3 linked regions of the Alligator mississippiensis genome follow. Each later gene encodes a partner of the first gene's protein in a complex. Links are inferred from orthologs where the notes say so. Each region holds a gene or a part of one and is shown in the gene's direction. Other genes may lie near its edges.

Region 1 (9,633 bases):
CACCCCCTGCATGTCCTCTCCTCCTGGATACCGGGGGCAGGGGCAGCTGTCCAGCTGCCCCCAGCTGGCTCCAAGGGAGGAGAGGGTCAGCTTGGCCCTGGCATTGTCACGTCCCTGGTCCCGTGTCCACCACCTACCAGGGGATGTGCTGGCCTCTGGGGGCCCCTCGTGCGTGGAGTTGGCCCCGGCCTCCCGAGCAAGCGGGCCACCGGCCCTGCTCAGCACCACCTTGAGCAGGCTGCGGGCAGCAGTGAGCCGGAAGTCCTCTGTGGCGGCAGGGGGAGAAGGTGTCAGCTGGCACGGGTGGCAGCGAGGGGGTGGCATCTGGCCCTGGGAGTGGCTCTCACCAATGAAGGCCTGCTTGTCGTCCTCGGCGCCCAGCCGGTAGCAGCGGGGGAAGAAGGTGTCGGCGTCGGCCTGGTCGAACCAGGGCAGGTTCCGGAGGTTGAGGCACAGCCCCACCTGTGGGGATGGCAGCCGGGCCTGGCGAGGCAGCACCGGGGGCTGCCCCCCGCCCCGTGCGCCCGCAGCCTCCGCGCCCCGCACCTTGGTGGTGAAGGAGCCGGCCCGGGCGTAGTGGTTCATGACCTGCTCCTTGCGCAGAGCGCGGCAGTCCACGACGTCGCGCCGGTTGGTCCAGATGAAGTAGGGCACCTGGTTGCGAGCCAGCCGCGACTGCGGGGGCAGCGGGTGAGGGCCTGCCCCGTGCCAGGCCGGGAGCCCGCCCAGCCCGGGCCCGCACTCACCAGGAGGCTGTAGGTGCCCTCGGGGTCCTCGTCCTGCCCCTCCTCGCCCTCGCCCTCGCCCTCCTCCTCGGCCGGGGGAGGGGAAGAGCGAGCGCCGGCGGCGAGGGCGCGGGCCGCCCGCTCGCCCTCCGGGGCCGCGGCGCTGTCGTCCGCCTCGGCCTCGCGCTCCCGCCGGCGTGCGGCGCGGCCGGGCCGGGGCAGGCGCTTCTCCACCCAGCCGCGGGCGCGCAGCAGGCTGCGGATCACCGGGTAGGGCCCCTGCACCACGAAGATCTTCTTCTGCTGCGGGGACAGCGCCGCGCTGGAGCCGGGCAGGGGCGGCGGCGGCCCGCTCCCCCCCGCGCCCCTCACCTTGGCGGCGCGCTCCACGTGCAGCCGGGCCTGCTTCAGGCGCTCGGGCTTGAGCGCGGGGCGCTGCCGGCCCCGCTCCGCGCCCGCGCCCGCCCCGCGCCCCCGCGCCTCCATGGGCCGCCGCCTCGCTCCTCGGCCGGCCGCTGCGGGCGGGCGGGCGGTGCGGTGCGGCGCCGGCAGCGCGGGGACTCGGCCGAGCCTCGGGCCGCCCCGCCCGCCACGGCCTGTTTGGCGTCTCCATGGAAACCGGCAGCAGCGGCCGCAACGATCCCTCCCGCCGCGCCGCGCCGCGCCGCGCCGCGCCGCGCCGCGCCGCGCCGCGCCCCCGCACGGGGCAGGCAGGGCCGCCGGCGGCCGCGGGGAAGGGAGCGCAGCTATTTATAGCCCTCCCACCCGCAGGGGAAACCAGGGGCCGGCTACAGCCGTGACTCAGGCCCGGCTCTCGGCGCAGCACCACCCCCAGACCGCCGGCGAGGAAGCATGCAGCCCCTGGAGGCATGAAAAAAGGCTTTAATAGGGAAGGTTTCAGAGTAAGAAAAGTTACAGCAAGTGCAAAAGCAAAAGAACCAAGAGTTACAGATTCCAGCTCCGTCAGGGGAGGCCCTGCTCTGGGCAGAGCCCCGGCTCCCTCCACCACAGGCAGAGGGAGCAGAGGTGAAGGCCAGCGGCGAGAGGACGTGCTGCGCCGGGAATGCCCTGTTCCTGGGGGCGGGTTGAAGGAGAGGGGGCTGCATGCGTGCCTGCCGACCGGGGTGCCCAGGCACAGCAGCTGCCACAGCCGCTGTGCCTGGACCCCCGGCTCCAGCAGGGGGGACAAGCTGCAGCCTTCCCCACTCCGCCCCCGCAGGGAACAGGCAGACTGGAGCAGGCACTGCCCAGGAGCAGGGAGGTGGAGGGCCCAGCCCCAGCCCGAGAGAGCTGCAGTCCTGCCCTAAAAGCAAAGCAGGCCCCTCTGCTGCTGGGCCAAACCCCTGCAGATGGCACCAGGCGCGGCCTAGCTGCGGCCCGAGCACTAGGGGCAAGGAGCCACATTTGGCAGCTAGCGGGCACCCCCCTTTGCAGAGAGGCCCTGCTGGACGCTGGCAGGGCGGCCAGCAGCTGCCAGCCTCGGGGCAGGAGACACGCATCGCACGTGCTGTCCAGCGCCATAGCAGCCAAAGCTCCCCTCCAACCCCGCGCCCCCACCGCTAGGAGAATCGGAGACGTTACAGCAAATGATTAGTCATTTAAAAAAGAACATGGAGTCGACACAGTCTCAAACAAGCACGGTTTGCTTCAAATATTAACTCCTCCCTCCCTTCCCTGGGGACGATGGAGAATGCAATGTACATTCCACTGGACAGCTCCATAAGATCTGGCTGCTTCTCATCTCTCTTCCCGAGAGCAAGGCCCAGGCTGCGGCCCCCCAGCCTGGCAGGGCGGCTGTGCAGAGACGCAGGAGAGAATGAGAACGTGAAGCCGTGGAGTCCAGCACCATGGTCTAAAACTGGGCAGGGGCGAGAAGAGACAGGCCGTTAATGGCTGCAGGTCTGATTTCCGGCCACACACCGCACAGGGCCAGGTTGGCGCCCTGCCAGCCCCCCTGCGTCTGCACAGCCGAGCCGCCTCAGCCCGAGCGCACGAGGGCGGGATGGAAACAATCAGCGTGGGAAGCCGGCACTGAGGCCCCTCCCACAGCGCAGCAGGCTAGAGACATCCCTTCTCCCCCCGCTGCCTGCCCGAGACGCTCCAACCCACAGCTTCTGCTTTCGCTCCCAACAGGCTGCCGCGGATGTCACCAGCCTCCCTGCAGCGGGTGGGCGGCCTGCCCCAGGTCTCTCGGCCCTGCAGGGGCTGCTGCACCCCCCACCGCTCCCTGCACGGGGAGCCTCAGCCCCCCACGCAGGGGCCAGCGGGCAGGGGCTTCTTCTAACAGGGGGGTCAGACAGCCTAAGCAGGCCGCTCTGCTCCCCTCCACCGAGCCCTCTAACAGAACCGTGCCGCTGCCCCGCACCACGGGCGCCCACCGCCCCGCCTGCGAGCCTCACGTTTTTGAGGAACTCCTCCGCCACAATGCGAGCCCTGGCATTGACGGACAGCTTCATCTCGCTGATCTCCTTGTCGATCTCCTCCATGAAGTGTATCACGAAGTCCACCAGCTTGTGCTTGTACATCTGCTCCGTGTGGAAGTTCGTGATCAGGAAGCTGATGTCGTAGCCCTGGGGGAAGAGGAAGGGGCGAGCGCTCAGCCCTGCTGTGCCCGGGGCCCAGCGGGAAGCGGCCCGGCCCGGCCCGGCGCCCCTCACCTCCACGGCCTTCCTGCGCAGGATGAAGAAGTTCTCGGCTCTCATCATCATGAACCGCATGAACTTGTGGCAGAGGATCTTCTCGATCTCGTCAGCCTGCGGGCAGGCGAGGGGGGGAGCAGGGGGGCGGAGGAAGTCAGGCTCGGCCCCCCCGCCCCGCCCCGCGCCGCCCCCCCGGGCCCCGGCCCCGGCTCACCTGCTTCACGGCGATGCTGACCCGCACCGAGTTGATGGACCCCTCGATCAGCACCTTCTCCTTCTCGTTCCGGCTGATGATCACGGGCTGCAGCAGCAGCTCTTTGCTGCTCCTGGCAGCCGCCCACACGTCAGCCCCGGCCCCGGCCCCCGCCCCCGCCCCCGCCCCGCAACGCCAGCGGCCCCCGGCGCGCCGCCCCCCGGGCCCGGGCCCCGGCCCCGTACCTGACTTCCACCTCGGGCTTGTTGTGCCGCTCCACCACCTGCGACGAGAAGTTCTCCAGGCAGAGCGCGGCCTGCAGCGTGGCGCGCACCGCGCTCAGGTAGGGGCGCAGCGTGGCGGTCTGCGGGCAGCGGGCACGGGTCAGCGCGCCCCGGCCCCCGGCCCCGGCCCCCGCCCCCGCCCCGCTTCCCCGCCCGGCCCGGCCCGGTCCTACCATGGCGGCGCTGACGGCGGCTCCGGTGGGGTCCCGGGAAGCGGAAGCGGAACTAGCGGCGCGGGCGGCTCCTCTGTTCCGGGACGGGCGGCACCGCCCATTGCGCCCCGGGGGCGGGGGGGGGGGGGCGGAGCGCTGCAGGAGCCGCAGCCGGAGCCACCCCCTCACGCGGGAGCAGCGGCCGCGCCGGGGCCGCGACTTCACCTCCGAGGCCGGGGTCCTCTCGCCGCCGCGGCCCCGAGCGCCCTGAGCGCGCGCCCCCGCCAGCGGGATCCGCGCCCCCCCCTCCCCCCGCGCCGCACTTGGTACGGCCCCGCCGCGGCCTCCATATTAGGGAACGGAGAGCGAGCGGGCGGCGCGGCCAATGGGGATCTCCGCGGGGTGCGGCCCAGCCAATGAGGAGCGCGCGGGGCGGGCGCTGACTCTGGCTACGGCGGCCGGAAGGGGCTGAGCGCGGCCGCGGCGCGACCCCGGCGGAGCGCCCCCGCCCCCCGCGCCCGGTGCCGGCGGCGGCCACGTGCGGAGCGCCCGGTGCGCGGCGCCCGGCGCGATGAGCGAGTTGAAGGACTGCCCGCTGCAGTTCCACGACTTCAAGTCGGTGGACCACGGCAAGGTGTGCCCGCGCTACACGGCCGTGCTGGCGCGCTCCGAGGACGACGGCATCGGCATCGAGGAGCTGGACACGCTGCAGCTGGAGCTCGAGACGCTGCTGTCGTCCGCCAGCCGCCGCCTGCGCGTGCTGGAGGCCGAGACCCAGGTGCGGGGGCGGGGCGGGGCGGGGCGGGGCGGGGCAGGGGGGCCGGGCCGGGCCGGGCCGGGGCTGAGCCGCGCCGCGCCGCCCGCAGATCCTGACGGACTGGCAGGACAAGAAGGGGGACCGGCGGTTCCTGAAGCTGAAGGAGCACGACCTGGGCGCCCCGGTCAAGCACGGCAAGCCCAAGAAGCAGAAGCTCGAGGGCAAGGGGGGCCACGGGCCGGGGCCGGGCCCCGGGCGGCCCAAGTCCAAGAACCTGCAGCCCAAGATCCAGGAGTACGAGTTCCCCGACGACCCCGTGGACGTGCCGCGCATCCCCAAGAACGACGCGCCCAACAGGTGCGTGCCCGGCCCCGCCCGCCCGCCTGCCCCGCTCCGCCCTGCCCTGCCCTGCCCTGCCCTGCCCGGCCCCCTCGCAGCACGGCTCTGCCCCTCCCCCCGCAGGTTCTGGAACTCGGTGGAGCCGTACTGCGCCGACCTCACCACCGAGGAGCTGCGCGTGCTGGAGGAGCTGCTCAAGCCGCCCGAGGACGAGGCCGAGCACTACAAGGTGAGCGCCCGCGGGCCCAGCTGCGCCCGGCGCTGCCGCCGAGCTCGCGCCCTGCACGCTGCCCCCGGGCCCGGCCTGGACGGGGACCGCAGCCAGGCGATGCTGAGCCGATCCCGTCCCCCCCACCGCTGTCGGCCCCAGGGACCCTGTCGGGGGCCTGAAAGCCCAATGCGGCGCCAGCCAGGAGGGGGCGTTCTCTGCCCTCGCACCAGGCACCGAGCAGCATCTCGGGCGCCAAAGGACGCCCACGTGTCGCTGCCAGGCAGGGCCAGACAAGCGGTCTCTGCCACCCCGCAGGGCTCCCGGCTCGGCCATCAGCCTCTGGCTGGTTGGCAGCAGCAGAGCACAAGGGAGCGCGGGGCAGGAGTTGGAGGTGATCCTGCAGGGGCTCGGCGCAGGCTCCTGGCGTGGTCGGGCGCATGGGGCAAGGCCAGGGCACCGGAGCAGCCCCTTGTGTCGGCAGCCCAGGGCCAGGCACGGTGCAAAGCTCCGGGTGCGATGGGCGTTCTCAGACTTGACGCAGAGAAGCAGGGACGCTCAAGTGGCCCCTCCCTGAGCCTGCCGATGTGCTGTGAGCCTGGCGCCCTGTGACTTCCTGGAGGCAGGGCCTGCAGCGCTGCAGGAGCCTGGGCGCTGGGCCGTGGGGCTGGGGCACTCCCCTGTGGCCGTGTTCCCCAGGAGGGGACGGCGGCTCGGGGCTCCCCAGCCGCGTGCTGCTCACAAGGCTTCTGTTGCAGATCCCGCCCCTGGGGAAGCACTACTCGCAGCGCTGGGCCCAGGAGGACCTGCTGGAGGAGCAGAAAGACGGCGCCCGCGTGGCTGCAGCTGCGGACAAGAAGAAAGGCGTCCTGGGGCCACTGACCGAGCTGGACACGAAAGGTGCCTCTGGCTCAGCCCTGCATCCCGGCAGCTGGGCACAGGGGCACCTGGTGCGGGGCACGGTCTGGTTCAGCCAGGCCTGGGGAGCACAGATGACCTTTGGGCTCCGGGGCCCTGCCCAGCACGCGGGCACCTTGCTCTGCAGCCTGCCTGGGCACGCTCTACGGGGGGGCAGGTGGGGTGAGGCCTGGGACCAAGAGCCACAGGTGGGAGGGGGGTTCCCTCGCTGCTCAGCTGGCTCGGGGGCCCATCTCCCCAACGCTGCTCATAGCCCCCTCCCCGTCTCCCTGCAGATGTGGACGCACTGCTGAAGAAGTCGGAGGCCCAGCACGAGCAGCCCGAGGATGGCTGCCCCTTCGGCCCCCTGACGCAGCGCCTCCTACAAGCGCTGGTGGAGGTGAGTGGGGCTCCGGGCTGGGCCGTACTTGGCCCCCGCTGCCCAGCGCTGACCCCTGTCTCCACGCTCTGTTGTTAGGAGAACATCATCTCCCCCGTGGAGGACTCCCCGATCCCCGAGATCGTGGGCAAGGACTCGGGGGCTGATGGCGCTGGCACCTCGCCCCGCAGCCAGAACAAGCCCTTCAGGTGAGCAGCCGTGGGGCCCCGCTGCCCTCTTCCCTGCGGCCCGCCTTGAAAGGGCCCGTGGGGTGACAGCAGCCCGCCCTCGTCCCTGGCAGCGTGCCGCACACCAAGTCGCTGGAGGGGCGCATCAAGGAGGAGCTGATCGCACAGGGGCTGCTGGACTCGGAGGACCGCCCGGCCGAGGACGCTGAGGACGAGGTGCTGGCGGAGCTGCGCAAGCGGCAGGCGGAGCTCAAGGCGCTCAGCGCTCACAACCGCGCCAAGAAGCACGACCTGCTCCGGTGGGTACCGCAGGCGGCCTGGGGGCCGGGGCCGGGCCTGGGCCTGGGCCTGGTCTGGTGGGGCTGACGGCTCTGCCCTGGCAGGCTGGCCAAGGAGGAGCTGCACCGGCAGGAGCTGCGGCAGCGCGTGCGCATGGCGGACAACGAGGTCATGGACGCCTTCCGCAAGATCATGGCCGCGCGGCAGAAGAAGCGCACGCCCACCAAGAAGGAGAAGGACCAGGCCTGGAAGACCCTGAAGGAGCGGGAGAGCATCCTCAAGCTACTGGACGGCTAGCGGGGCTCTGGACTTGCCCGCGCCGCCCCGCTGGAGACTGGCTGAGCGCGGGGCCGTGTGCCGGGGGGGGGCCGCGCTCCCTGGGGTCGGGGCTGCGGGGGGGTGGAGGGGCCTTGCTTGCTGCCATGGAGCGGGGCGGCCGGGCCCGCACCCCGGCTGCTTGTCTGCCACGGCCAGGCGGGCGCTGCGCCGCCCTTGCCCTCCCTCTCCCCGGGCGCCTCTTGCTGTGACTCCCCTGCCCCTGGCTGCCCCAGCCCAGCTGGCCCGCGGGGCGGCCGATGTGGGGGCGGCCCCGCGCCCGGGGGTCGCGTTGTGTGCGGCCCGCGCCTGCCCTCAATAAAGCCCGTGCGCGAAGCCTGCGCTGTGTGCGGTGCGGTGCGGTGCGGTGCGGTGAGGGAGGGGGCGGGGGGGGGGCAGTGAGTGGGCCCCGCCCCCCCCGCGCTAATTTTAGCTTGGCCCCGTCTCCAGGCACCCCCGCCGCCGCCCCCCGATTGGCCGCGCCGCGCCAGCCCCGCCCCCTGACGTCACCGGTGGCTGGCCCTGGCGCCGGGGGAGCCGCTGCGCCGGGCGCGGGACCGTGCAGCGCCGAGCACCGCCCGCCCCCCCGGCCCCGCCCGGCCCCGCTCCGCTCCAGCGCGGCCCGGCCCGGTAAGCGGCGGCGCGGGGGGCGCTGGCCGCGTGGGTCCGTGCCCGGGGCGGGGTGCGGGCTCGGGGCGGGGCGGGGCGGGGCGGGGGTCGGTCCCGCGCGCTGCCGGGCCGGGCCGGGCCGGGCTGGGACAGGACAGGACAGGCCCCGCCCCGCCCCGCCCCGCGCGCTGCCCCGCGGCCCCGCAGCAGCTGCCGTTGTCATGGCAACTGCCCGGGATTCTTCCGAGGCCGCAAAGTTTGCGGAGTGGACGCGGGCCGGGAGCCGACGGGCTGCCCGTGGCCCGAGCCGCGCTGCCCGTGCCGCGCAGGGGGCTGGAGGTCCTGGCCTGGCAGCGCGGGCCCCGGGCCCACCCTGGCTGACACCCCCGCCTGCCGCCCGCGCAGGCCCCGAGCTCGGCCGCGCCGGCCCTGGGACGCGCAGGCAGGCGGCCCGGGAGGGACGATGCCGCTGGGAGAGGACGGCCCCAGCTGGAAGAAGAGGACCCAGGACATCCGCGACATCTACGAGTTCCGGGAGATCCTGGGCACGTGAGTCGCGCCGCGCCGCCGGGCCGGGCCCCGCCGCAGCGCCGGGGCTGGGGCCGCTCCCGCCACGTGGCCCGCGCCGCCCTGCGCCGGGACGCTGCAGCCCCCGAGCCTGTCGCCCCGGCCCTTGCTGGGGTGTCGGGTCCCGTTGCCCCGGCGCGGCTGCGTCGCCTCGGCCCCCATGCCCGCAGGGCTGGCCTGGGCCTGGAGCGGGAGCTCCGTGGATGCCTGCCGCCGAGGCAGGTCCAAAGGTTGGGGCCTGCGCCCATGTCAGGAGGAGCCAGGCCATGGCGGGGCTGGGCTGTGCTCTGCGTCCCCCGGGCAGGGGTGCTGGGCTGGCGGCGTGTGGCATTAGGCCGAGCAGGCGCGTGCCGCCAGCATGGCCGTCTCAGGCGCTCGGGAGGGATTAGTGTAATCACGGAGGGGATGAGAGACCGGGGATCGCCCGGGCTGTTCCCACCCCTGCACTGAGCCTGGCAGGCCTGGGCACGGCGCATGGAGGGAGCCCGCCAGGCCCAAGCAGCCCCAGCACCGGGGTGCTGGGCTGGGTCCCATGGCCGCCCGCCCCCAAGTGCAGGCCCTGGAGCTGGGCATGTGGCGGGAACCCTGTGCTGGGTCGCCGTCGGAGCAGGAGCGCGGGGTCCTGGGCCAGAGCCCCCGCGCCTGCTCGGCCTGGGCTCCCTGCGCACGGCCCCTCCTGGCTGCAGCTGCCCGCTGCGGAGGGGTCCTGGCTCTGGCGGCGCCGGAGTCCCCAGCACAGCCCCAGCAGCTGCTGCAGCTGCCCGCGGGACTCGGCCTCTGCGAGGCCTCCCCAGCAAGGCCCAGGCTGCCGGGGTGGTGCGCGGATGCACAACTGCCTCGGCCCCGGCCGGGCTGCTGGCCCTCACAGGCTGGCAGCGCCCTCTCCCCGTGCGAATCCCGTGGCGGGTGTCGCCTGTCCAGACGGCTGCTGCTCCGATCCTTCCACCCCCACGCGGCTCGTGCCCCGCGCATCCCCCCAGCTCCAGCTCCATCCCCCAGCCGAGCTGCCTCCGCCTGGCGGCCCCGCTGCCAGCACGGCTGTGTTTCCAAACAAGCCCTTCCCACGCTCCCACGCCCCAGCCGGAGGAGCTCCTGGAAACAT
Region 2 (9,633 bases), on another chromosome or scaffold:
GCCCAGATGCGACGCCTGGTGCAATTGTTCGAGTTCTCTGAGGACGAGCGCCGCCTGCGACACTTGCTGGTCACCCTCTTCCAGGAGGTCTTCCAGGAGTTCTTGCCTGGTGAGGCCCACCACTGTGCTGGGTCGGGGGGGATGGGGATCATAACAGTGACCTCCGCCCCCCTCCCCCACGTCAGCATGACCTCTGCCCCCTCCTGCAACCAGGCTGCTCCGTCCTCCCCTTTGGCTCATCCATCAATGGGTTCGATGTCCATGGCTGTGATCTTGATCTCTTCCTGGACCTGGAGAAGACGAAAACTTTTCAGGCCTCGGCCAAGGGGGTCCCTGAGGCACAGGTGAGGGGGGGCAGCGCTGAGACTCCGGGGGGGCTAAGAGGGGGCATTGCTAGGGAACTTCAGGGAGTGCCAGGGAGGGGGTGCAATGCCAGGACCCTGCGGCCTAACATGAAAAGCTAGTGCCAGAACCCGGGGGGGTCAGGTTCCGAGTTGTCCTGCTCCTTCCTCCCCCTGGTAATTGTTCCCCCTGCCCCTGGCTTCCCCCATAGTGCTGCGAGGGGGCAGAGCCGGCCGCAGAGGACTCGATCCTGAGTGACATCGACTTGGGGGTGGCGCCGGAGGTGCTGGAGGTGGTGCGCACCGTGCTGCAGAGCTGCGTGCCCGGGGTCCACCGTGTGCAGGCCGTGCCCAGTGCTAGGCGCCCTGTTGTCAAGTTCAGCCACAAGGACTCGGGGCTGTGCGGCGACATCTCCCTCAACAACCGGTAACGCGGGCTCTCCGTGGGGGCCTGGGGACTGCTGCGCTGGGAGGGGCAGGTTGTTGAGGCAGCTGCCACCGTAGAGGCAAAGGTGGGAGTGGGGGCTGCCCCCCCTGACATTTCCCAACCCCCACCCTCCCCAGGCTGGGTCTGTGCAACACGCAGTTCCTGCAGCTCTGCACTGAGGCTGACGAGCGAGTGCGACCGCTGGTCTACGTGCTGCGCTACTGGGCCAAGCAGCAGGGCCTGGCGGGTGAGGATCTCCCCTTCCCCCTCTCGCTGGGGGCTGTGGCTTTGTCCAGGGCTCTGGGCTGGGCCAGTCTGGGGGAGAGTTGGGGGTGCAGGACACAGCCCCCCATCTCACAGTTGTGTCTGCCCTCTCAGGTAACCCTCATGGAGGCGGCCCACTCTTCACCAACTATGCCCTGACGCTGCTGGTGATCTTCTTCCTGCAGACGCGCTCCCCACCCATCCTGCCCACTGTGGCCCGTCTCCAGCAGCTGGCAGGTAGGGCATGCTCTGTGCCCTGGGGCTGTGCATGTCTGTGCATGGGAAGGCAGGGGCTGCTTGGGTCCAGGAGCACCAGGAGGCCGGGCACCAGTAAGAGAAGCAAAGGGCAGCTCTGTGGCGAAAAACGTCCCCTTGAGCTTGGCATGTGAAGCCTGGCTGGTGCCCACGAGAGAGCCATGTGCCCTGCCCAAAACTAGCTGCAGTTACACGGGCTGCCTGGAGCTGCCACATGTGTGGGTGTGTGTGTGTGTGCTTGTGTGCGAGAGCATGAGCCGGGGGTGGAGGGTGCGTGCATGTACATGCATGTGACATCCCTGTACCCTGAATCCAGCAGCTTTCATGCTCCATTTCGTTGGCCAGGAGCCCATGAGGTGCCAGGCCTGGCAGGGTCCCAGGAGTTGTATTCAGCCCTGTCCTTATCTTGGAGCAGGACAGTCCCAGCCCTGCCTGGTGCCCTTCCCACCTGCTCCAGGAAGGCCCCAGGGCAGGAGGGGACTGGCCGCCAGGCCCTGACCTTGAGTTAAAACAAAAGCCGGATGCACCACAGCCGCCTCCCTTTAGCCTTGGCCTCCATGATCTTGGGCTTGGGAGCCTGAACTAGAAAGAAACCCTGGGGTGGAAAATCCAAGTCCCAAAAGGACCAGGGCTTTTGGGGGAGCTCGGCTTGCATCTGGCAGCCCCCAGACACCAAGGCACAGCCTCTCCTCTGGGTGTTACCCCTAGGCTGGTTCTGGGGGCTTTGATATGATCCAGAGAAACCAAAGCAAGTTCCTCCCAATGATGCACCGGTGTATTGGGATGCTGTGCTCTGGTTTATTGCATGCCAGTTATTGTATGCTGGTTTACTGGGATACCAACAATCGGGCCACGTGACCCAGAACAGCTACATCCAGCAGAGACCACGCAGCCTCACCGCCAGCGGATGAAGACTCGGTGCTCTCAGAGTCTGCCCTCGTGGTCGAGGCGAGTTGTTGTGGAAGAGTTTTATCCCATTCAGGTTCAGATGTCTGCATTCCCGCCCGTTTCTCTACGACAGCAATCTCTTGGCTCAGGGAACAGGGAAACTGAGTCATGACCTGTGACTTGGCCTATATATCTCTGAGCTAATGACCTCTTGGCACAGGGAAACTGAGTCATAACTTGTGCCCCGTAGCCCATTTCCCTGAGATGATCTCTAGGCTCAGGGAGCGGGGAAATGGACCCTTGCTTTTTCCTGGGGTTGCCCGATTAGCACGGGAGTGATCCCTGACCAGTGCATCAGGGCTTCCAGGGAGCTGCCCCCCCAGCGCCTGCCATCTCCCACCTGCTGATGGCAGTGACTCGGACGGAGCTGCTTCTGGGACCGGAGCCTCCATGAGGAGGGAGTGTATGGACACCCCCAGCACAGCACTGGGGGGTGAGACCTCCTTGACATGTGGTCTGCGTGGCGTGGCTGGGGATCGCTAACCATCTCCTTCCTTCCAGGGGATGAGGAGCGGATGGTCGTGGACGGGTGGGACTGCAGTTTCCCCCGGGACGCGGCACGGCTGGAGCCCAACACCAACACAGAGAGCCTGTGTGAGTGCCGTTGGGGGGGCTGGGGGCAGAGGGGCCATGCAGGGATCCCTGTCCTCACCCCACTTCTTTCCTGCTCCCCCCAGGCGTCCTTCTGGCCGACTTCTTCCGGGAGTTCGGGGAACAGGAGCTTTCAGGTCACGTGATCTCCCTGTGCGAGGGCCGGGTGCTGCCCCTGGAGGCAGTGGCGGGTGCGGGGCTGCGCCTGGGCCCTGTCACCCTGCAGGACCCCTTCGAGCGCAGCCACAACGTGGCCACCAACGTCACGGAGCGCATGGCCCAGCGCCTGCGGGTCTGCTGCACCCGGGCCGCCAAGTACTGCCGCAGCCTGCAGTACCAGCGCAAGTCTGCCAAGGGCCGGCCCTGGGGCCTGGTGCGCCTCTTCCAGCCTGAGGCTGGTGAGCTGGACTCTGACGGGCTGCTCCTCGCCTTGCCCTTGGCCCCGGCTGCCCGTCGGCGTGAGCTGGGCCTAGATCCCAGCTCCCGGCAGAGCTGGTTTGGGCACGTGTGCGCTGGCGTTGCCTTTGTGCTCAGAGACGTCTTAAAGTGCAGTTGCACGGAGCTCCAGCGTCAGCCCCTTGGACATGCAGAGCAGCTCCTGGAGCCCCCCGGGGCATCCCTTCAGCAGGGGGAGACGGGGGAGCCCCCAACCTCCCCAGCCCAGCAGCCGGCAGCCCCCAGGGAGCCTGTGGATGCCCCCAGGGAGCTTGTGGATGCCCCCAGCGCCCCAGGAACGCCACCGGCTGCTGGGCTCAAGCGCCCCCTGAGCGAAGAGGAGGGGATCCCCAGCCCTGTCTCCGTCTCCCCTGCCCGGAAGAGGCCGCGAGCAGAGGCCCTGGAAGAAGCAGGGGCTGTGAGCTGGAGCTGCGCCCTGTGGCACCGGGTGTGGGTGGGCCGGCGCCGGGTGCGGCGGCAGCTGCGGCCCCAGCACAGCAGTCCCCTGGCAGAGGCCGGCACCGAGCAGGAGGCCGCACGGTCCCTGGAGCTGGAGGAGAAGGTGTCGGCGGCCATTGCCCGGCAGGAGGCAAGCGGGGAGCCGCTGCTGCAGTTCACAGCCTGCGCCCGCCTGGACGCCCAGGCCAGCCTGCGCTTCACGCCTGCCCCCCAGCACGCCACGCTCTTCCAGGACTTCTACCACTTCCTGCACAGCTTCCTGCCCACCATGCTCCAGCGCTACCTCAGCCGCGTGGGGGAGGCCAGCCCGGAGCCAGGGCCAGTGCCTAGGACAGAGCTAGACCTAGAGCCAGGCCCCCCCCGCCCAGTCCAGCCTGGGGCTGAGGCAGACCCCCAGTGAGCGACTCAGCTGCGTGGGCTCAGGACGCTGGGACGCTGCCCTGCTGTGTGCGCGCCGCCTCCAGCTGGGGGGAGAATAAAGGTCCCGCTCTTGTGTCCCAACCCGTGTCCTGTCTCCTGTGAGCTGGGGGGAAATCTCCCTCTCTGTCCCCTCTGGGTTTGGGGTGGGGGGACATGGCAGACGTGTTTGCCCGGTTCAGGCTGATGCTTTGGCCCGGCAGCCTCTTCTGCGCACCGCTGCACGGTGCCCGTCTCCGCGGCTGCTGTTGGCAGAGCCCTGGGCGCCCCACGACCGGCTCTGGCGCTTGGTCGAGCTCAGCGCGGGGGCGGGAAGCTCTGAGGGCACCACGGCCTGGTCCCAGGGTCACCCCGCCCCCCAGAGGTGTGAGAAGGGAGGCGGGGCGTGGCAGAAACCATGTCCTGGCCCTTTAAGAGCTCCAGAACCACGTGGGTTTCGAGTGGCGCGGGCCCTTTAAGAGCCCGGCGTCACGTGACAGCGGCCCGCCCACGTCATCCCCAGGCAGCAGAGGGCCGGGGGTTCCCCGCTGGCTGGCGCGCGCCCCCGGGGGGCGGGGCCGGGGCCGGTCCCCCTTGGCGCGCGGCCGCGCACGTGTGTGCGCGCTATCGCGCGTCGTCCCGGCCATGGCGGAGCGCGACGAGCGCCGCTTCGTGGAGCTGCCCCGCGAGTCCGTGCGGCTCATGGCCGAGAGTGCGGGGCTGGGCCCGGAGCTGCCCGACGACGTGGCCGCGCTGCTGGCCGAGGACGTCTGCTACCGCCTGCGCGAGGCCGCCCAGGTAGGGGGCAAGCCACGCCCCCGGCCACGCCCCCCGCTTCCTCCCTGCGACCCCGCCCCGCGCTGCTCCCGGCTCCTCCGTGACCCCCATCGCCCCCCCCCAGGCTCTTTCTGCCCCCATCCCCACCCCCACAGCAGCCCCTTGCTGCACCCCCCGTCCCCCATCTCCCAGCACCCGCACCCCTGTGCCCCCCACACCCCCGTGTTTCCCCAGTCACCCCATCCCCCCCACCTCCCGAGTGCCCCCCGATGCCACCCCCGCTTCCTTATGCTCACCGGTGACTACCAGTGCCCCACGGCCCCGCTCTCCTGTGGCCCCCACCCGTGCCCCTGTGGGCTCCCCAGATCCCCGTGCCCCCGATACCACTTCACACCCGCCCGCGCTCCTCGTGCCCATCAATAACCCCGGTCCCGCGCACCCTGCCCCCCCCCCCCCCCCCCCCGTGCCTGCGTGCGCCCCTGAAACCACCCGCCACTCTCCCCAGGCCCCCCGACCCCACCACGCCCCGGTCCCCCCATACCCATTTGACTGCCCCCCACCCTTATGGGGGGGCCATGTCCCAGTGACGCCCCCCTTGCCCCCCACTGCCAGAACAGCTCCCAGTTCATGAAGCACACCAAGCGGCGCAAGCTGACGGTAGAGGATTTCAACCGGGCGCTGCGCTGGAGCAATGTAGAGGTGAGTGTCGTGGGGGGGCTGTATCGGCTGCCCCCCTCCCCCCCCCCCAGCCTTCGTGCCCCTGGGGGGAAGGGGGCTCGCGCCTCCCCCTGCCCTGGCTGACCGTGGCGGGGGGTCATCCTAGGTGATCTGCGGCTACGGCTCCCAGGACGCGCTGCCCTTCCGGCCGGTCAAGGAGGGGGAGCTGTACTTCCAGGAGGACCGGGAGGTCAACCTGGTGGAGCTGGCCCTGGCCACCAACATCCCCAAGGGCTGCGCCGAGGCGGCCGTCAGAGGTATGTGGCCCCCCACGGCGGGACCCTCCCCCCGCAATAGCTGGACGTCCCTGGGCTGTGGCTGCTTGGGGCTGGAGATGTCTCCCCTGCCCCTGGGCTCATCCTGGGTCTCTGCCCCCTGCTCCCAGCCCTGGGGGACTCTGGGGAACACCCAGGCTACCCCCTCCCCATCCAGTCCTGGGCTGGGGCTTTTGAGGATCATCTGACTGGGCTGTGGGGGATCAGCAGGAATATCTGACCCCCCCCCCCCCCCCCGCCCCCCGCTCACCTTCGCAGTGCACGTCTCCTACCTGGATGGGAAAGGGAACCTGGAGCCTCAGGGAAGCGGTAAGAGCCTCAGCATCCCCCGCCCCTGCACAGTGCCCCCCAGCCCCAGGAGCTCCCTGGCAAGAATAACATCCATGGCGCGCCCACCCCTCCAGTGCTGTGCCCCGTTCTGGTCCCTGCACCGCCACGTGGGGAGAGAGGAGCTGGAGAGAGTCTAGAGAGGGGCAACAAGGGATTAGCAGCCTGGAGGGGTTTCCAGAGAGGGGCTTTTCAGAGAGGCCTCAACACACTGGAGGATCAAACCAACAAAAATCTCAGGAAGTTCAACAAGGACAAGTGCAAAGGCCTGCACTGAGGACGGAGCAATCCCATGCACCGGGACAGGCTGGGGGTGACGGGCTGGGCAGCAGCTCTGCAGAAAAGGGCCTGGGGGTGACAGTGGGCAAGAAGATGGCTATGAGCCAGCAGTGTGCCCTTGTTGCCAAGAAGGCTGCTGGCATCCTGGGCTGCATTGGTAGGAGCGCTGCCAGCAGATCCTGGGCAGTGATTCTTCCCCTCTATTCTGTACGGGGGAGGCCACATCTGGAGTCCTGTGTCCAGCTGTGGTCCCCCCTCCCCCTACAGAAAGGATGTGGACATGGAGAGAGTCCAGCAGAGGGCAATGAAAATGGTTGTGGAGAGAAGCTGAGGGAATTGGGCTTAGTCTGGAGAAGAGAAGACCGAGGGGGATTGAATAGCAGCCTCCAGCTCCCTGCAGGGCGGTTGCAAAGAGGCTGGAGCTGGGCTGGTCTCAGCGGGGGCAGACGACAGGACAAGGAGTAATGGGCTCAGGCTGCAGCAAGGGGGTTTAAGTTGGATATTAGGAAAAACTTTCTCACTAGGAGGGTGGTGAAGCACTGGAACGGGTTTCCCAGAGAGGTGGCGCAGTCTCCATCCTTGGAGGTTTTGAAGACCTGGGTAGATGAAGCCTTGGCTGGGATGTTGCAGTTGGGGCTGGTCCTGCTTGGAGCATGGGTTGGACTGGATGTGACCTCCTGAGCTCCCTTCAACCCCCGTTGACTATGATTCTTTAGGAGGAGACACTAAGGAGGACGGGCCTGGTCAGCACAGAGCCAGGGGCTAGGATGAGGGTTTACGACCTACTCAGTGTGGGAGAGGAAGTCCTCGGGGATTTCTTGTGGCCTCTCTCTCACCAGGCACGGACAAGGGGTCGCAGTGAAATCAGCAGGTTGGCAGTTTAAAACCAAGCCCAGGCAGTTCTTGTCCCCCTGCCTGGAATTTGAGCGCGAGGCTCGTTGTCATCAGACGTCAGGGGGAGCTGGGAGTTCAGCCCCGTTCCCCAAGGGACTGGACACGTCCTTGGAGGAAAGAGGCATCAGTGGCTCTGGAGCACGGGTGCGAGGGGCTCGGAGTCTGTAGCAGAACTACCTGGATCCTCAATGCTGGGGGCTGCACTTGGGAGAGGAACAGGAAAATCCTGCCAAGACCCGATGTCTGTCCCTCCCCACCTCTGCTCTCTGGAGACTGGGCCAGGTGGACCCAGTCGTGGCAGGACTTAGGGTCTTATAACCCACCACCCACTGCCTTTCCCAGCCGGCCTTCCCCCCTTGCCCCTGGCTGCCTGTGTTGGCTGTGATCTGCCCACCCAATTGATTCCCCTTCCCCTTGCAACTCCCCCATCCCTGGCTCCTTCCAGCTTTGGGTCCCCCAAGAGGAGCTGCTCCCACGGCCCCATGTCCCTGCCTCCTTCGGGCGGCCACATGGGGGGCTTTCCGGCAGCTTCCCGCTAATGCATCTCCCCCCGCAGTGCCCAGCGCTGTCTCCACACTCACGGACGACCTGCTGAACTACTACCAGCACGTGACGCGGGCCGTGCTGGGTGACGACCCCCAGCTGATGAAGGTGGGTGGGAGCAGGGGGAGTGGCATGGGGCAGACCCCTCTGACCCCCAAGTCAGCCTGGTGGTGACTCGGAGCAGGGCGCCAGGAGCCTCCAGGTCACCCCCAACAGAGCCCTGACAGCCCAGTGTCTGCTCTCCCGGGGGGGGAGCTTCCTTCCTAGCCAGCAAAGCCCCAGGGCCAGGCACACAGAGCAGCAGGGCTCCCTCTCCCCCAAGGACGGAGAGCCCAGAGCTTGCCCAGGCATTTCCCCCAGCGTTGCCAGGGCAGGAGTTTGCCCTGCTGTAAAGGCCTCCTGGTCTCCACTGCAGCGGGGGAGTGATTTCTGGGCCTGGGGTCAGGCTGGAGACCTGCCGGGGGCACCTGCCTGTGGTCCAAGCCCTTCCCGCCCCCTGCACCTGCAGGTCGCCCTCCAGGACCTCCAGACCAACTCCAAGATCGCGGCGCTGTTGCCCTACTTCGTCTACGTGGTCAGCGGGGTGAGTGGAGCTGCGGGCAGGGAGAGGGGGTTACCCTGCTCCGTTCCTATGGAGAAATTCGGGGGGGGGGGGCCATGTCCAGGTGTGGCAGGAAGGTTGGGCAGGTCATGTCAGAGGTCAGGGCTTGGGGCTGATGGTAACCCCTGAGCCTGCTCTGATCTTGCAGGGGAAGTCCTGGGGGTGGGGGCGGGTTTGCAGGGCTGGGGGGCAGCGCATATCCAGGGGTGGCACAAAGGCTGGAGGTTGGGGCCTGGGCTGACAGCGACCCCCGACCCTGCTTTGTTCTTGCACATGAAGTCTGGGGGTGGCAGCAGGCTTGTGGGATGGTGGAGCTGTGCCTGGGGGGAGCAGGAATGTTTGGGGTGACCACGGGGATCAGGGGTCAGGGCTGTGGTGGTGACCCCTGACCCCACTCCATCCCTGCAGGTGAAGTGCTGAGGGCGGGGGCAGGTTTGGGAGACAGTGGAGCCACGTCCAGGGCTGGCAGGTAGGTCACGGGTCAGAGACCGGGGCCTGGGGCTGACCCCTGGCTCCACTGCAGGTGAAGTCGGTCAGCCATGACCTGGAGCAGCTGAGCCGGCTGCTGCACATCGCGCGGAGCCTGATCCAGAACCCGTACGTGTGCCTGGGCTCCTACGCGCGCAGCCTCATTGCCAGCGTCACCTACTGCGTCCTGGAGCCGCTGGCTGCCTCCATCAACCCCCTCAACGACCACTGGACCCTGCGCGACTATGCTGCCATGCTGCTCAGCCACATCTTCTGGTGAGGCCACGCCGGGGGGGGGGCGGGGCATGGGGATCCCCCAGAGCTGCCTACAGTCTGCTGTACCTGGCCCCTGGTGCCCCCAGAGCCAGCTGCATGTTATATCCAGCACCCCCCAGGGCTGGCCACAGCCTGCTATACCTAGCTCTCGGCTCCCTAGAGCCAGCTGTGTGTTATAGTCCGCACCCCTCCAGAGCCAGCTGTAACGTTATATTCAGTCACCGGTGCCCATCCCAGAGCAGGCTCCAACCTATTCTACCCAGCCCCTGCCCCTGGTGCCCCCCCAGAGCCAGCTGCAGCTTGTTATCCCCAGCCACTGGTGCCCAACCCAGAGCTGGCTGCAGCTCATTCTACTCAGCC
Region 3 (9,633 bases), on another chromosome or scaffold:
GACTGAATTGTGCCCTCTTGCATCCATTTTTAGTTGTGATGCCAATATTTGAAGTGAAGTGGTTCAAAAAAATAAACCCCATAAAAGATCTACCATAGAGATCATTTGGAGAAACAAGCAAGGGTAAGCCCCTGTTCCAAGCTTCTTAGCACCATGTACTAGTCTCGTTGCCACTAGTTTGGCCAATGCATTTCAAGACAAGTTTGTGTGCACATTTTTAGAACGGGACAGTAATGATGGTATTTTTGTTTTTTATTTTGTAATTGGAATGTTACAACCTCCGGTCTATCATTTCTCAGAAGACTTTCACGTATGTTGAATATGTAGTTGAAATTATCTAATGATTAATGAATCAGAGCTTCTGGAATTAAATTCTCCACTGATTTAACTTCTTAGCTGAGTCACCATGACTACTGGGTTTGAAATTTTAAGATCAACTATGAAATATTGTATTTTTAGTGTTGTGTTTTGTAGTGACCTTAAGCATCAAATCATTCTTTACCTTTAATTTCTTAATCGGAACAGCAAAGAAAAACAGTGTGTGTAATGCACATTCATAGCTTTAGAAATAGCTTTAAAAATTCAGTATTTTAAAAAAATGTACTTAACGACCAGGTGAGTATGCTTGAGTTTCCAAAAATGAAACTGAAACTGCAGAGGCCACAAGATGTGTTAATAGCAGAACCAGAAGACCTTTAGGTTGATTCGGTCTTTGCCAGGGGTTACAATGTCAGATATGTTGTTAAGTGTGAAATATTTCAATTAAAAAATGGCTAAATGTGCTTGGTTTCTTCAAGGGCCATTTGATAGGCAGAACTGCATGGCAGTCTCCTGCACAATAAATAGTAGTAAACATGCTTTAGAAAGGAGATTATTTTCCAGTAAAATATTTAGTTTATTCTTTTGCCTGTACAAAAAAAAATATATATTTGGTATTTCCCAGTACTTTTATTTGTAGTCTCCCCCACCCCCGGTTTTGGTGTCTCTAAAGATCTTGCCTCCCTCCGGTATCTTCACGGCGATAGAAAGGATTTGGCTTCCTTAATTTTTTTCTTGAATCCCTTGCAGGCAATGGTGAGACCAGCATGGTGCTGTTTCAGGTTCTCCAGCTGCTGATTCAGCACCTGAGCAGCATCCACCTTGTTCTCAAAGTCCTGCAGCAGCACCTCATTCCCCAGCAGGCCGCACTTCTGCTGCAGCCTCTGATTGTCTGCCCGTAAACGATCCCTGGCCTGCTTAGTTTTGGTCAGCACGTCTCTCTTCTGTGCCAGCACTGCCTCGATCTCCAGCAACTCGACCTTCTTCTCCTGGTTCTCGGCTTCCACGAACTGCAGTTTCTCTTTGAGCTGTGTCAAGACCTGCACTGTGGTGGTGACTTTCTTCCTGAGCTTCAGCAGCTCCTCGTTGCGCTCATCCACCTTCTCATTGTAGGTCTGGTTCTCGATCTTCAACTGCTCGAAGTCAATGAGGTGCAGCCCTTCAGCCAGCTCCTCCTGGGCCTTCAGTCTTGCTTCTAGCTGCTCAATCTTGTGCTTCAGCTTGATGTTCTCCAGGCGTACCTGAAACGGTGGGAGTGGGCAGAAAGGTGTGAGGATTTTCTGGCATCCTCACGCACCCCAACTCTGACAGAAAAGTACCTCACGCACCCTAACTACTGACAGAAAAGTACGGTAATGCGACCTTCCTTCCTTTCTAGGAGCTGCTGGAGCGCTGGCTACGGTATTTCCTGGCATCCTCACGCACCCCAACTACCGACAGGACAATATGGTAATGTGACCTTTCCTCCTTCCTGCCCAGGAGCTCATGGAGTGCTCGCTACCGTATTTCCTGGTGTAGTCATGCATCCGAACTAGTGACAGGACAATACAGTAACGTGGCCTTCCTTCCTTCCTGCTCAGAAGCTGGTGGGCTGCTTGCTGCCGTATTTCTTGGCATACTCAATCACCCTAACTACTGGCAGGAAAATACGGCAATGTGACCTTCCTAGGAGCTCATGGAGCGCTTGATACCGTATTTCCTGGTGTACTCGCGCATCACAACTAGTGACAGGACAATATAGTAACGCGACCTTCACTCCTTCCTGCGCAGGAGCTGGTGGGGCGCTCGCTGCTGTATTTCTTTGCATACTCACGCATCCCAATTACTGACAGGAAGATATAGCAACCTGACTTTCCTTCCTGCCCAGGAGCGCTTGCTGCCGTATTTCCTGGTGTACTCCCGCACTTTAGTGACAGAACAATACGGTAACGCGAAGCCCCGTGCTGCCTCACCTGGCTGATCTCCTCGTCCTTGCGCTGCTCGGCGGCCTGCAGGCGCTCCAGCTCGGCCCGCTCCCCGCCCGGCCGCCGCCTGCCCGTCGCCGCCGCCTCGGCCACGCAGGCCCGGTAGGCGGCGGCGGCCGCCCGCGCGCGGCCCCGCGCCTCCTCGCAGGCGGTCTCCTGGGCGGCCCGGCGGCGCTGGGCCCGGGCGGCTTCCTGCGCGCGGAGGGCCTGCAGGTCGTGCAGGGCGGCCAGGCAGCGCGCGTAGCGCTCCTCGGCGTCGGGCTCGGTCCGCGGCGGCGGCGGCTCGTCCGGCCGCTTCCCGCGCTGCAGCAGCAGTTCCCGCAGCCGGAACTGCTGGCGCGCCGTGGCCTGGCGCAGCCGCTCGCGCTCGACTAGCAGCGCCCGGTACTGCTCTACCAGCTCCGCCCGCCGCCGCGCCTCCGCCGCCGAGCCCGCTTCGGGGCTCTCGGCCTCCGCCTCGGCCTCGGCCTCCTCCTTCTCCTCCTCCTCCTCCTCGTCAGCCTCCTCCGGCTGCTCCATGGCGCCCTGAGACGCGGCGGCAGCTTCCCCCGTCTCCATGGTAACGGCGGGCGGAGCAACGGTTCTCCCCCCCCCACGAGGGCTCTGATTGGTTGTAACGAAGGGAAACCGGCTCGGCGTCGCTGCCCTCATTGGGGCGCGCGCTGTCGCCCTGCCCCGCCGCCCCGGCGGGATTGGAGGGGGCGGAGCAGGCCCCCCTGGCGCTCATTGGGCGGCCGCGGCGGGGCCCTACCCCCGGGGCGCGCGGCCATTGGCGGGGGCGGGGCGGCGCGTGCGCAATGTGGGGCGGGGCGGGGGAAGATGGCGGAGCTGGGGAAGAAGTACTGCGTGTACTGCCTGGCCGAGGTGAGCTCCCTGCGCTTCCGCTGCACCGAGTGCGCCGACATCGAGCTGTGCCCGGACTGCTTCTCGGCCGGCGCCGAGATCGGGCCGCACCGCCGATGGCACGGCTACCAGCTGGTGGACGGCGGCCGCTTCACGCTGTGGGGCGCCGAGGCCGAGGGCGGCTGGAGCAGCCGGGAGGAGCAGCTGTTGCTCGACGCCATCGAGCAGTTCGGCTTCGGCAACTGGGTAAGGACGCGGCCGGCAGCCGCTCCCGCAGCGTCGCCCGCGAGGGGAGCGGGAGCGGCCGCCCAGCCCGAGCCGGCCCCTTCCTCGGGGGTCAGGAGGGCATCGCCCCCGGGCTCGGCAGGGCGCCCCCTTTCCCTGAGGGGGATGTCTCCCTCCACGCGGGGCCACGGGAGCGGGCGGTGGTTCCCCTGCTTGACCTGGGCCCGTTGTCACCGGTCCACACACGCGTAGGGTGGGATCAGGTCTGGTCCCCCTGCTTGGGCGGCTGGGCTCGCGTAACCCCAGCCAGGCGCGCGCCCAGCCTTCTTTTGAAGGCCTCTAAGGTAGGTGCCTGCGCCGCGTGTCAGGTTTGTGGCACGCGCGCCCAGGCTAGCGGCCGCATCACACAGAACTTGAAGTAGGGGTCGCCCACCCCGGTGCGTGCCCAGTGCGGCACACGAAGACATTTTGCTCAGTCCTTGGGGTTGGCTGTGGGGGAGCTGCGAGGGCCGGATCCTTCTGGTGGCAGCCCCAGCCCCTTTCCCACTGTCCAGCTCAAGGTGCACGCGCACCACCCGGCTTGGGGCTCCACAGACGGCTGCTTTTGGTCTCCCAGATGCCTGCCACAGCCGGGCTGGGCTCTGGGCCATCCACTGCGGATCCCAGGCTGCTCGCGGCAGGGGATGGGGAGGCCGCAAGCAGCTGCACTGGGGTCTGCAGAGCTGTGGTCCAGCTCGGTGCCAGCAGCAGTGTGTGTGCGTCTTGGGACAGACAGCGGAGGAGGGGCTGGGATTGCGCTGCTGTAAGAAGGATCAGACCCCTCGCAGCTCTCCTGCCGTCTGCTCCCGGCACGCCAGCATCTTACGAGTTCAGAAAGGGTTTGTGGCACGCTGCCCAAAAACGTTGCTGACCCCTGGCTTAGATTACAGATTGTACGGGATAGTTTGGATAGGGATGATTGTGCCTCAGGCAGAGGGTTGCACTAGATGAGCTCTGGAGGTCCCTTCCACCCCTACGACTCCATGATTGTGATTGATTCTACCCAAACCATCTACCAATCTATTGTTTAACCTCTTGGTAAAATCCCCAGTCCTTGACACCATGGTGCTGCAGACCCTGTTGTCCCATGCTGCTGCCTCCTTCCTGCCCTGCCCCACCGCAGCATCTTGCACCCCAAGGGCTTACAGGAAGCTTGGTCATTTCCAGCACCAGAGCCTTTGTCGTCAGGTACTGACTTTGCCCCAGCTTCCAAAAGTCGGATGCTTCTTTCTGATGCCTCCGGCCTGCCCGTGCTGTCCATGCTTCTGCTTCGCTTGCATCTGTTTTCTTGACAGCTGCTAGGCTCATGTCACTGTGCAGCTCATGTGTGCAGCTGCTTTCTGGCTGTGGTGGGCAGCAGATGTTGGTGTGATGTCCAAGTGAAGTACTATGTGTCCACCTTGGCTCAGGAGACTGAGCTTTGGCAGAGCCTAAGATCTTTATGCTGAGGTAGAGGTGGGGGAGCACTTGGTTTCTAGCTCGTTCAGGTGAGTGGTAATCAGGTATGTTATCCTGAAGTCGGGCAGAAGCAGGGTAGGTGTGCCTAGGGTAACCAAATCAGGGTTGCATAAGTTTTCACGAGCAACAGCTGTCTCTGTTGGACACTGCGAAGGGACATAGCAAGCTATGCTGAAGCCAAGGTTGCAGATTGTGATTGAGGTTGTACCAGTGCTCTTGCTGAGACTTAAACCCAGATGTTCCCAGTTAGAGGGTCTTGCCTCTCCACTCAGCGTCAGGCTGATCACCACATTTGGGGTCAGGAAAAAATTTTACCTGAAGTTCAGATTGGTATGGACTGGAAGGTTTGCCTTCTTCTGTAGCAGGGATTGTGGCAGTCTTCTTTGATCTCTTGAGCCTGTATTAACAACCTTTGCAACAGCAGGGCATTAGCCACCATGGTCCTCCTGCTTTACATGCGATTTAAAGACAGAGGAGAAGAAGGGAGAGTGGGCAGTACTGAGAGAGGTGAAGGAGATGGCAGGAACAGCAAAGCCGTAGGATTTAAAGATAATCCAGGTAATGGGATAAGAATCTGTAGTCCCTGCTTAGACCGTATTTAACATAATACAACCTGTGGATGACTTTTTTGTTGTGCAGTTTTATGTTCAAGTCAGTTCTTAAAATGCCAGTGTTTAAGAATAGTTATTTGGAGCTCAGCAAACAAGGTTGCTACAGGGTTTTGTGTATTTCTGAACATGATGTCAGATGAAGGAAAACTAAGTGAATGGGATGTCCTGTTGTCTTTCTGAGTCTTTAAAAAACAAAGTAGCAGCTCCTGTGCAGGAAATGTTAACTCAAGATGTTGGCACTTGCAAAGTTGATGTTAACTGTTTCATTGTTGATCAGGGTTGCGGGAGCGAGGGACATTTCTGGAAGACTGTGCAGTGCCAGAGCAACATCCTTTTATACACAGTCTGATCTAGCTACATGCCATGCAGTGTTAGCTGATTTATTTAAGATACAAGCACAGCACTGTGGCATCCAAAGCTGTTCCATTTAATTTAGATACCTAGTAATGGAAGTTTTATCGTTGTTCATTTGTTTGTTCTTGGAAGGCTTTTGTCAGCCAATAGTTTTGTGATTTCTTTAAGCAACAGTTACAACAGCAGTAAAATCTGATCAGGGTTCAAGTTTCTCACAGTCTGGATATGTTTTGTCTAGCCTTGTCTTCTAATGTATAGAAGAGGAGAAAACTGAACTAGGTAAGATAGAAACTACGTGAGGACTTAGTGTATTCATGTTATACAAGTGCAAGGGGAGTTGTAGTGAGGGATGATTTTAAGTTTTTCAAGGAGCTTTGACAACAGGATTTTTTTTTTTTTTAGATATTTGAGTTTAAAAATGTATCCTCTCCCAAAAAACCCGAGGGGTGCTGCACATCTAATGTCCTCCGTTCTTTCTTCCTTATTTTGTGTCTCTACCACATTCTGAGTTTTTCTCCAGTGTGCTATTATTATCAGATCATTTCTTGCCCTCTCAACATCCTGTTACCCTCTAATAACAAATTCTTTTCTCGTTTAGGTGCAACATAGAAAAATGGCTCTCTCTCTTTCATATTGATGATGCTTGAATTAAATTGTTACTACCTAACAGAGCCAGAACCCTTTAAATACTTACTTTTGAGTGTAGTTATTTACTTAAATAAAAATATTCTTGTGAGAGAATTTTAAGTACTGATTTCCCCTCTCCCTTCACCTGTGTCTTTTATAAAAATGTATTTATAACCAGTTGAGCAAAACCAAAATTACATTTGGGGTTATTGGTTCTGAGTCTGCAGGGAGTACTACATTTGGAGTAGAATTCTTGTTTATATTTTAATTCTTGACTTTAGTCTCCAAATGTTGACACAACAGCTCTTTGGATGATAAGTGAATTCTCTGTCTGCATATGGTTATGAAAATTGTTGCTTACTTGTGTAGGAGAAAACTTAAAAAAAATATGAGTTTGGGTAGTTTTGCCATCTAAAGCTGGATGTTTGTGTGGATAATGCAGGTCTCATCCGTGACACTGGGCATAACTCAGAAATGATCAGTCCATCAGTAATCTCTGACTTTGTTCTTTTTCTAGGAGGATATGGCTGCTCATGTTGGAGCATCCCGAACTCCCCAGGAAGTGATGGAACACTATGTAAGCATGTATATCCATGGTAACCTTGGAAAAGCCTGCATCCCTGACACCATCCCCAACAGAGTTACAGATCACACCTGCCCCAGCGGTGGCCCACTTTCTCCTAGCTTGACCACCCCTCTCCCACCTTTGGACATATCAGTGGCAGAGCAGCAGCAGCTGGGGTACATGCCACTTCGGGATGACTATGAGATTGAGTACGACCAAGATGCTGAGACTCTGATCAGTGGCCTTTCAGTGAACTATGATGATGATGATGTGGAAATAGAATTAAAAAGAGCTCATGTGGATATGTACGTAAGAAAACTTAAGGAGAGACAACGGCGAAAAAATATTGCACGAGATTATAACTTGGTTCCTGCCTTTCTGGGGAAGGATAAAAAGGACAAGGAAAAGGCTCCAAAACGCAAGATCACAAAAGAAGAAAAGGAGTTGAGGCTAAAACTGAGGCCCCTGTATCAGTTCATGTCCTGTAAGGAGTTTGAAGACTTCTTTGAGAACATGCACAAGGAGAGGATACTTCGAGCAAAGATTAGAGAGCTGCAGCGCTACCGTCGAAATGGGATCACCAAAATGGAGGAGTCAGCAGAGTATGAGGCAGCTAGACACAAACGGGAGAAAAGGAAGGAGAATAAAAACATTGCCAGTTCCAAGAGAGGAAAGGAAGATGGCAAAGATGGTGAATTTGCTGCAATTGAAAACCTGCCGGACTTTGAACTCTTGTCAGACAGAGAGAAGGTGCTCTGCAGCTCTCTGAATCTGAGTCCGGCACGTTACGTGACTGTGAAAACTATAATAATTAAAGACCATCTTCAAAAAAGACAAGGAATTCCTTCAAAAAGTCGCCTTCCCAGTAACCTAGATAAGGTACTAAAGAAAAGGATTTTAAATTTTCTAACAGAAAGTGGTTGGATATCCAGGGACGCCTCATAAAACCTGTCTGAAATGAACGCCCCCCCCATCCCCACGAACAAAAGGCTCACCGCGGGCTACAGGACTCCATTACTTTCTCTCGCTTTCCCCAAGATTGGATTTCTCCTGTAAAACATGAGTATTTACAGCTCTCAGTCTAGAGGGACTCTTTGCAATGGATCATGGAAAATACTAACCTGTAACTCCTTGTGTGATCTTAAAGTCAGTACTTTAAGAAGAAAGATTTGCCCTTTAAATATGGACAGTAGATGAGTACATCAGATCTAATAGGTTTTGGTGCACTGTTGAAATGGATCTTTTCGCATGGGTTTAGACCAAGCGTGGTGTAGCTGTTTACTCCTTATTGTTGGCCAAAAGGATTGTTGGTGCAGCACCTGCTCTTCTTGGGGTGGGAGGGGGGACATCCCACTTGGTGGGAGCCTGTCTTCTTGTGTTGCACTCTCCTCAGAGTACTGGCAGCAAAGTGACACTTGCAAAAATTTTCTGCTCTGAAGCACAGAATACTTAAAGCTTGGAGTTTTGTGAATGTTGCTTTGCTTCCAGCATCTTTTTCCTCATTAACCAGGGTCTATATTGTAGCAAAGTGGTGTCAGGATGTGAAGAAAAAGCAGGGAAGTTAGATGACCCAAGAACGGGGATTGGGTAAGTACAAATGTGGTAGATAAGTTGCCTCTGGTCACTTGTTTTGTTGATGAACAGCCTTCATGTTCCTCAGCAGACTAACTCCAGGGTTTCTCTTGGCATTGACTGTCAGCCACTGCAGTAGTAAAGTTGCAGGGTTACAAAGCAGCTATGCTATCTGCTGTTCTGCAGATGGAAACCTCGGGATTTGAACTACTTGAGTGGATATGGCTGTCCAGAAAGAGGCATTAGCAAGGAGAGTGGAGTGCACTGCTTCAGGATCTTGTTGGCACCTGATCTCAATGAAACTACTGTGAGCCTTGGGCAGGAGTTAAATACGTGCTTTGCTGTCCAGGCAACTGCATGCATGGAAACAGTCCACTTTTACCTATCTACCCTGCCTTCTCTTTGGATCCTAACTGGTCCAGAGAGATATTTTTCAAACTGAGTCTTTTTCATGTAATTCTGTTGCAGACCATTGTGATCATAAACTGTGGAATTATTTCATAGTGTGCAGCTAAAGCCGTCTCAAAACATGAAACTGTGACTGAGCTATTAGAGGCTTTACAATTGCTTTTGAACAGACTTAGCTTAAAATTCTCTGAAGATCTTCACTGTAGTTGGTAGCAGTATTCTGTATCTGAGCCACTTTAATGCAATGTCACTGAATGTGACTCTACCAGCTTAATAGCCTTGGGTTCTGTTGATGGCTTTTTTGGTTTTGTTAAGGGCTACAAATTGAGCAAGGTGTTTGTAACTAGCCCAGTTTTTCTCCCTAACAAGTAGGTTGCGCATACTCAGTCAACAAAAGGTTATTCCCATTGGGCAAGTTCCAAGAGAGATCAGCAGCAGGATTTATACTCTTAAACTTGTATGTTGGAGTTGCTTGAGTTGATATCCCTGCAAAGTTCAGGGAAATCCATGTGCTGGTCATGGGCTTGTCATCTCTTTTACAGCTCTTTGTGTCTTTATTTCCTGGGTGGCCCTGAACAGTCGGCCGATTTGATGCCTTTGGAAGGCAGGTGGTCTGAGAAGTGGTGTTTCATTGCGCACACAGGCTTTC

Evidence for each region.
Region 2: TADA3 (region 1) and TAF6L share a complex: the UniProt entries of both Homo sapiens proteins name them as parts of the STAGA transcription coactivator-HAT complex. The link is inferred for Alligator mississippiensis from reciprocal best matches to the Homo sapiens genes TADA3 and TAF6L.
Region 3: TADA3 (region 1) and TADA2B share a complex: the UniProt entries of both Homo sapiens proteins name them as parts of the TFTC-HAT complex. The link is inferred for Alligator mississippiensis from reciprocal best matches to the Homo sapiens genes TADA3 and TADA2B.

The regions. Positions count from the first base shown.
Region 1 is NC_081835.1:471,389-481,021, reverse strand, and holds TADA3 (transcriptional adapter 3), read left to right. Parts: upstream 1-4,204; 5' UTR 4,205-4,564; coding exon 4,565-4,771; intron 4,772-4,859; coding exon 4,860-5,107; intron 5,108-5,212; coding exon 5,213-5,318; intron 5,319-6,055; coding exon 6,056-6,197; intron 6,198-6,490; coding exon 6,491-6,594; intron 6,595-6,672; coding exon 6,673-6,782; intron 6,783-6,874; coding exon 6,875-7,060; intron 7,061-7,144; coding exon 7,145-7,337; 3' UTR 7,338-7,691; downstream 7,692-9,633. Other genes in the region: tubulin monoglycylase TTLL3, read right to left, coding at 1-266, 348-462, 547-1,338; ARPC4 (actin-related protein 2/3 complex subunit 4), read right to left, coding at 2,578-2,583, 3,125-3,295, 3,383-3,478, 3,579-3,690, 3,803-3,921, 4,015-4,017. UniProt on the Homo sapiens protein: Functions as a component of the PCAF complex. The PCAF complex is capable of efficiently acetylating histones in a nucleosomal context. The PCAF complex could be considered as the human version of the yeast SAGA complex.
Region 2 is NC_081838.1:3,250,141-3,259,773, forward strand, and holds the start of TAF6L (TAF6-like RNA polymerase II p300/CBP-associated factor-associated factor 65 kDa subunit 6L), read left to right. Parts: upstream 1-4,618; 5' UTR 4,619-4,761; coding exon 4,762-4,914; intron 4,915-5,505; coding exon 5,506-5,592; intron 5,593-5,716; coding exon 5,717-5,867; intron 5,868-6,143; coding exon 6,144-6,194; intron 6,195-7,941; coding exon 7,942-8,036; intron 8,037-8,436; coding exon 8,437-8,511; intron 8,512-9,052; coding exon 9,053-9,273; intron 9,274-9,633. Other genes in the region: TUT1 (speckle targeted PIP5K1A-regulated poly(A) polymerase), read left to right, coding at 1-109, 214-344, 554-768, 906-1,015, 1,147-1,269, 2,737-2,829, 2,913-4,120. UniProt on the Homo sapiens protein: Functions as a component of the PCAF complex. The PCAF complex is capable of efficiently acetylating histones in a nucleosomal context. The PCAF complex could be considered as the human version of the yeast SAGA complex.
Region 3 is NC_081825.1:25,913,401-25,923,033, reverse strand, and holds the start of TADA2B (transcriptional adapter 2-beta), read left to right. Parts: upstream 1-3,083; 5' UTR 3,084-3,101; coding exon 3,102-3,371; intron 3,372-6,956; coding exon 6,957-7,949; 3' UTR 7,950-9,633. Other genes in the region: CCDC96 (coiled-coil domain-containing protein 96), read right to left, coding at 1,014-1,559, 2,271-2,840. UniProt on the Homo sapiens protein: Coactivates PAX5-dependent transcription together with either SMARCA4 or GCN5L2.